2 linked regions of the Neurospora crassa OR74A genome follow. The main gene of each other region encodes a partner of the protein of the gene in region 2 in a complex. Links are inferred from orthologs where the notes say so. Each region holds a gene or a part of one and is shown on either strand. Other genes may lie near its edges.

Region 1 (3,539 bases), on a different chromosome or scaffold from region 2:
GTGCGAGATTGCGATTGATAGGATAGAGTGGGAGAATTCGGAGGAGAGGAAGCAGGAGAAGTTGCGCCAGAGGTACATTGACATTGACAACATCATATTTCTGTTCTGGCATTCTTTCCATTGGTGTGCTAACCGCAGAAAACTACTACTTCTAGTGACTTTGCCTCGGTTGATCCCGCCCCTCCCATGCCCGAAGACGACGAGAAGCAAACGGTCGAGACGCTCGAGAAGAAACTCCTAGACACTTCGCTCCCCCTCTTCAAGAGATACCGCGCCATGTTCGCCCTCCGCGACCTGGCCTCCCCTCCCGACCTGCCGACTGCCGTTCCCGCCATCCTGGCCCTGGCCAAGGGTCTCAAGGACGAGTCCGCCTTGTTCCGCCACGAGATCGCCTTTGTGTTTGGACAGCTGTCGCACCCGGCTTCCATCCCGGCCCTGACCGAGGCCCTCAGCAACCTCGACGAGGTCAGCATGGTCCGTCACGAGGCGGCCGAGGCTTTGGGCAGTCTGGGTGATGAGGAAGGGGTCGAGGAGACGCTGCTCAAGTTCCTCCATGACAAGGAGAAGGTCGTTCGCGAGAGTGTGATTGTTGCGCTGGATATGGCCGAGTTTGAGCAGAGCGGCCAGGCTGAGTACGCGTTGATACCCGAGGTTGCTAGCAAGGCGTCGTAAAAGATGGGACTTTGAGTTTCTCTTGTTGGTTCGTTGATTGCGTTCGTTGATTGCTTGTTTCTTTTTCTTTTCTGGGGCGAATCATGGATGGATGGATGGAAGGGTATTTCAAAAAGTTTATGCGTCTTTCTCTCTCTCTCAGGATTATACCAATGCGACTGATCGTCGGTCCTGACAAAAAGAAGGGGTATCGTTGTTGTAGTTGTAGTAGTTGTAACAAGGCAAAGAAAGCCGTCGTTACTAAAGCTCGGCTTGCCAATGCTGGTGCTAGTAAGCTGTCCCATATGTCGTTGGATCCAAACCAAACCAATGCGACCCAAACAGCATTCCCAATTTTGTAAATCCAATTGCAGCAATCTTCTTTGCACTCAGTTGTTAACCGACCATCTGTGTTGTACCTCGAATTAGCACAAAGCAAACCACAGCTATAATAACCGTCCGGCGGTGTCGCATCATACCTCTCTCCGCAGTCGCAGTTGTACAGAATTGTTGAGCCTTCGTCGGCACTTCTCTGCTGAACTTCCGAGTAACGGATACCGCGCTTGCCGCACTTGGGGCATTCTGTGTTGGAGTCGATTCTCTCCGTGTTGAGCTCGTGCCTTACGACGGTCTGGACGATATCCAGCTTCTGGCGCAAAAGCGAGGGGAAATCGGACGGCTTGGACTTGGTCACGACGGTTCTGGAGGGACGATCTAGAATGAAACCAAGAAAGATGGTCAGTTTGTTCAAGTTGCAATCCTCGGATGAAATAAAGCTTCTTCTTGAACACCGTCTTCTGGAGGATATTGACTGGGTAAAGTGAATTGAATGCGCACCTCTGTTTTCGGCACCGCAGCATTCACAGTGAAGAATGTTCTTTTCGCTGCCCTTGGAGACGGGCAAGAGGTTGCCGCAGTCTGTGCAGAAAATGAGGGATCCGATGGCGGCCATTGTTGTTTCTTCTTGGTTTGTGCCGGAACGGTGGTCAAGGTACTGTAGGTTGTCTGATCGATGTCGGCGGTTCGGTTAACTTGAAGTTTTCTGTTGTTTCGTTCTCGCAGTAAACACCGGCGGACTTCAAGATTTACAACGGGCCTGCATGGAGACGATCAATGGCACGGCAAAACCATGGCAATTGATTGGGCGCGCAATGGAAAATTCCACTGGGGGACCCTCCTGGCTTGCTTCCTGGCAGGCAACCTAACTTGCTTGGCAGCGAGCAATGAAAGCCGGGGCAGGCTACAGGCACCTAGACGTAGGTACTTTAGCATGGGCGATGACGAGTGACGGCGGAAGGCACAACCGCAACAAGGGAACCATCCATCCACGCTGATGACACGGCAGGTGGGACCAAGGGAATCTGCCCCCCCAAGGCCCCATATCCAGCGCAGGCCGCGTGTTTCTGGCGCTGAGTTGGGTTCAAGTTGAATTCGTAAATTGCAAGCCAGACATGGAGACGCGGCAAGCACGACCGAGCGCGCCAACACGCCTGGGGTTAGGTAGGTAGGTAGTGTAGCTGGGCAAGTACGGGACGGCCACGGCACGGCATGGCAGGTGCTAGCTACCTACCTGTGCAGTACCGGCCGGGGTTCGGGGACTCGAATTACAGTAAGTAGCGTGACCGCGCGCCGTGCCCACCAAGCTCACAGGGCTGTTTCCCGTGTTGGCGTTGTGCGTTGCCCGTGCCTGCCCAGTGCCCGCCCTGCTTTGCGGATCAAATCTGGGGAAGGGAAACATACATTTGGATCCATTGGACTTTCCTTCCCTTGAGTTCCAATTTGGGTACAGTACCTGAACTTCACCTTCCTTGAACCTCAACATCGACCACACGTACTTACCCACCTCTACCTCTCTATCTTTAATCGTGCCCGATCCCACCTACCTTAGCTATTTCTATCTGTCTGTTGACCAGTCCCCTCACTCTCAGGTTCTGTTCAGTTGTTGGTCCGAACACATCGAAGCGACGACATGGACACACTACCTGTGCCTGCAGCGTGATTTCCTCTTTTCCTCAACCACCATCATCCATCTTGTCTTCTCCAACTAGTCCATCCGACGCGCCCAGGCCAACACTGACCCGCCGCGGGACAAAGGCCCCTCCTCCGCGACTGCCTACACGATTCCGCCGAAAGCAGTCGGTTCGCATGGCAACAACACCTCCGGCTCTCGTCTGAACTTTGGGCTCCGGGTCCTGACGTGGTACTGCGTCTACTACTGCCGCCGCCGCTGCTGCTGCTGCTGCTGCTGCCGCCGGTGCCCTCCGGCTGGGACGACATTTGCGCCGGACACACCCAACCATCCAAATCACCATGCGCTAATGCTGCTGTCAAAGTGATCAAGCAACAATGGCATACCAGCATCCATACCACCACAGCATGGATCCCAACGCCCAAGACTACCATGGCTCCCAAGGCGCGCCGGCGTCCTCATCGACGCAACAAGCTGTGGCATTTACGAGACCTTTTGCCCTCTACGAAGCTCTGCCCTATACGCCTTTCACCTCGATCGTGCCTTTCGACCCAAGTAAGATCAAACCATCCCAACTCTGAGACACTCCATGTTTGCTCCTCCCCCGTATATCGTCATGCCTATCTCCTCTCCTCTTCGTTCCAATATCGTCACGCGAGTCCTAACCATTCATGTCTTCACCTCTAGGTATCTTGCCGACACCCTCGATCGGAGCTGCGTCGCCCGCCCCCAGCTTGATCGACCTCCTCAACACTCAGGACTTCGATGGCCTCAATCAAGAACTTCACAACACAGGTCCAAGCAAACGCGTTCAGCACACACTCAGTCAAGTCCAGCACTTGATAGAGAGGGCGAATATCACAGAGTTGTACGTTTTGACGAGGAAGTGAGGAAGAGTCAGGACTGACCACCTCACAGC
Region 2 (3,695 bases):
AGTTGAAACTCTTTCCCATCACCAACAAGCAAAACTCATCTTTAAATCCAAGATGTACGCGCTCCCGCCCCCCAGCATTTGCTTGCCCGCCTACTGACATACAAGCAGTTCAAGATGAGAGCGAAGTGGAGAAAGAAGCGCGTGAGACGCCTTAAGCGCAAGAGAAGAAAGATGAGAGCGAGATCGTAAGTTTCACCATCGGCGCATCGACAGTTGATGCAGCTACAATCGCCACTCAGGAGCATATAAGCTGACTCGATCCCAGCAAATAAACGCCTCGCCTCACTCGACCCAATCAGCTCTTGACATTATCCTCTAAGCCATTAGACAACTTGGGCTCGGTGTCGACTCCTCCCCTCAGCGCGGAATGACGCCACATCGGTCGCTCTGAAACCTTGCGGTGATCAGGCGAACTCAGGGTTCCTACGGAACATGCACCCCTCGGGACATGCTGCACATCAAACTGTGGCACACATAGAACGGAACTGTTTGGTGGCGGATATGGTATTGGCTGGTTGCCTGTCAACTTCATGGTTGAGTAGCAACAAGGTGTTTACGGATCAACGCCGGTGGGAGCAAACTGTCTAGTTTGGAGACGCGAATTCGGGATACCCGTCGCAGCAACAATAAAGGCCGCTTCGCTTCATGATACACTTCTCTGCATCTGTGACAAACGGGACTGCATGTCTTGGATCAATTGTTTCTGTCGACAACATGGTCATCTGCCCTCGAACAGGTGACATGGCATTTGCACACAAAGGGAATACCAATTTTTGCAACATCAGTGAACATTTTCAACGACGGGGAAGGCAGTGGCCTGCATGCACGAGGGCATAGAAATCGCGTCCCAAGCCTTGGTTTGCCTTGTGACTTGGACTGAACCCCTCCATGTCTGGTTGATTGTTTTAGCACGCGTGCGGCTTGCTATTCTTCATCTCTCCAAGCAATTTAACAGCAAACCAATAGCAATTGATTTCATAGCATGAAGATTTCGCGCTTCGTAGTATTTCAACACAAATCATCAAACATATTGCATCGTCGTCATCAAATGTGGTGTGTCGATTGTAAAGGCGGTAACTGATACCGGACCCCGGCAGGCGGCAGAATTTTTTTCTGGCTGCGGGATCCACTCGGAAGTTCAGACAGCGACTCTCCAGCTGCATGATCCATTTGATTTGGCGGGACTTCACGACTCTACACTACCCCAGCACCTTTGTAGCCCGCAAACACCACCATGGGAAGCTCATCAGACAAGAAGCGCAAGAGCGCTGAGGATACAACACCCCAAATCAAGAAGAAGAAGGTCGACTCCGAGAAATCGTCCAAGTCGCCCAAGTTCATCAATGTCGGAGCTGTGAAGAGGCCGCAGTATGCGCCTCCGGTCGTGGGTAAGCACATGTTGATCGGCTGAAACCATGGCCGTCAAGTCCAATGGAGGAAGACTCTAACATGCGCTCCTAGCCGCGACCTCGGGACTCGCTCTCTCTTCGTCCATACAATTTCAAGCCTACGCCACACCAGCCGACAAGACCTCGAAGCGCAAGAAGAATGGCGCGCCCGCACAAGAGTTGCTGCTGCACTCTGCCAACCACCGGACGATGGACTACACAGCTCGCGAAGATAGGACAGGAGACTCGTCCGACCCATACCTGAAGCACTACATTGGCATCTTCAACCCCAAAACCGCCGAGGTTGAGATTGTAGAGGCGCGCAAGATGGTGCTCCGTGGCACAGTTAGGTCGCAGAAGGCGGTTGACGAGGCAATGGAAGAGAAGACTCAGAAACAGGTAAGCCTGGAAGTAGTGGTCAGGGGCATAAAACCAGACTGACGGTGCAACAGCAAATGATGGCCATGAGGAACGAGCTCGGCGAGGCATTCGGTACTAAGAAGGCGAAGAAGGCGATCCGCGACGTGACGGAGAACGCCATTACATCTCAAAAGGTTGGCCAGAGCGAGCTGGTGATGATGGACGCCATCAAGACCGCCACCAAGGACATGTCGACCAAGGAAGACCTTCAAGCCGCTGTCGACAACGCCCGACCGGTACCGCGCGGCAACTTCAATGCCGATGAAATCGCAGACGTCTACGTACCATCCCAAATTATCGGATCCGAGGTCCTGAACGCGATACCAGTGATGGATTGGCAGGAGAGCGTCAAGAACCTAGAAGACATCCAGGTACCTTCGCGCTTTGTCGCCAAGCGCGTTTCCAACGTAGCAAGCAGCGACGACGCGGTGCACAGATTGAGGGTACTGCGGTACCTCTTGTTCGTCATCATTTTCTGGAATGCCACCTCGCAAGGAAGGGAGCGTGGCACAAGAAGCATTGGTAAGAGGGATAAGCTGCGCGAGGTTATGGCACCAGCGCCCGAGATCGTGATTGAAAACATCCGCCGCAAGTTCTCGGACGGCGGAGTCATGCGCAAGACACACGTTGACCTTCTGATGACGCACTGCTGCGCATTTGCCGCCATCATCGACGGCTTCAGGGTCAACACGATTGACTTGAGAGAAGATCTGAAGCTGGAGCAGAAGCAGCTCAACCAATACTTTATCGAGATTGGAGCTCGCGTCAAGCAACAGAAGGTCGCTGACAAGATGGAGAACTTTGCCGTCCTGCAACTGCCTCTTCAGTTTCCCAAGATCAGACTGCCGGCACGGAAGAGGTAAACCACGCTTTGCTGAGCCGGACCCACGGCCACGGATCATATCATCAAGTTTAGTTGGATTGTGCGCATTGCACATCATCCACCCAGTCCTACATTGGACATCTTGGCGCTTACGTTTGGAAGTACCCTACGAAGTGCTGAGAAAAGGCATGCTTTTTGCGAGAGAAGCGATCATCCAGCTCAGTTGGAAGTCTGGCCGCTTCCAGCCTGTAACCACCATGGTGTGTTGTTGAGACACACCCAAGCGACACCCAGGCGCTGGCCAATCAAAATTCCAAGCGCCTAATCGAGAGGAGGCCATGACCTGTACCGCACTATTTGAGCATCTTGCCGAGGTATACATCAGTTATTTTGTGGTTCGGGCAGTAAAAGCTAGGCTAGAAAGCATATATCATTGTATAGACAATGTAGAGAATAGTCATGGAAATTGATGGGCCATAAGAAGTATGGCGGGAAGCTTGTCCCTCAGTCTTTATCAAGCTCTGAATGGGGTCAAAGAGATGACATTGAAATCTAGGAAAAGGGTCACCCCACAAAAAGCTGGCCCCCCTGGGTTCTGGTTCTCAAGTGCCTCAACGCTTGGCCAACCCCTTTGTGTTTGTTTACTACTGATATCCGCACGGACCCAATAACGAAGATGGGAACTGATGACGGGCTTCGAGATGAGTAATGGGGCAGAGATGATCATTAACCTGAACCAGCTAACGCCAGTTGATGTGCAAAATCAGAACCACGAACGTCAAGCTAACATATGTAACAGGAAGAATGTCCGCGGCAAATCCTACGCAGATATCAGAGCAGCCGACGGCCAGGCTAGAAGAAAACAAGATGAAAAGGTAGTTATATGGCTGCCCTGGATGGGCATCCGCCCAGGCGTCACCTTCTACCGTTGTCCCCTTTCGCTGGCCGCTGGCCGCTGGCCGCCCCGCGGTGTGAGACGCCGTCGGTGGTAGGTAGGGCTGGGCCGAAGCCGATCACCCCACGATGAAGTTCCTTCCCCTTGTGCCTCCCCAAAGCGTCCCCGA

Evidence for each region. The genes of interacting proteins can lie anywhere in the genome.
Region 1: NCU06485 (region 2) and NCU05251 share a complex: the UniProt entries of both Saccharomyces cerevisiae proteins name them as parts of the RNA polymerase I (Pol I) complex. The link is inferred for Neurospora crassa OR74A from reciprocal best matches to the Saccharomyces cerevisiae genes RPA49 and RPA12.

The regions. Positions count from the first base shown.
Region 1 is NC_026504.1:5,596,174-5,599,712, forward strand, and holds NCU05251 (DNA-directed RNA polymerase I polypeptide), read right to left. Parts: upstream 2,143-3,539; 5' UTR 1,604-2,142; coding exon 1,489-1,603; intron 1,366-1,488; coding exon 1,131-1,365; intron 1,060-1,130; coding exon 1,041-1,059; 3' UTR 673-1,040; downstream 1-672. Other genes in the region: NCU05252 (deoxyhypusine hydroxylase), read left to right, coding at 1-72, 156-672; NCU05250 (hypothetical protein), read left to right, coding at 2,998-3,175, 3,308-3,488, 3,539-3,539. UniProt on the Saccharomyces cerevisiae protein: DNA-dependent RNA polymerases catalyze the transcription of DNA into RNA using the four ribonucleoside triphosphates as substrates. Component of RNA polymerase I (Pol I) which synthesizes ribosomal RNA precursors.
Region 2 is NC_026503.1:1,582,178-1,585,872, reverse strand, and holds NCU06485 (hypothetical protein), read left to right. Parts: upstream 1-1,161; 5' UTR 1,162-1,234; coding exon 1,235-1,388; intron 1,389-1,461; coding exon 1,462-1,787; intron 1,788-1,840; coding exon 1,841-2,671; 3' UTR 2,672-3,195; downstream 3,196-3,695. UniProt on the Saccharomyces cerevisiae protein: DNA-dependent RNA polymerases catalyze the transcription of DNA into RNA using the four ribonucleoside triphosphates as substrates. Component of RNA polymerase I (Pol I) which synthesizes ribosomal RNA precursors.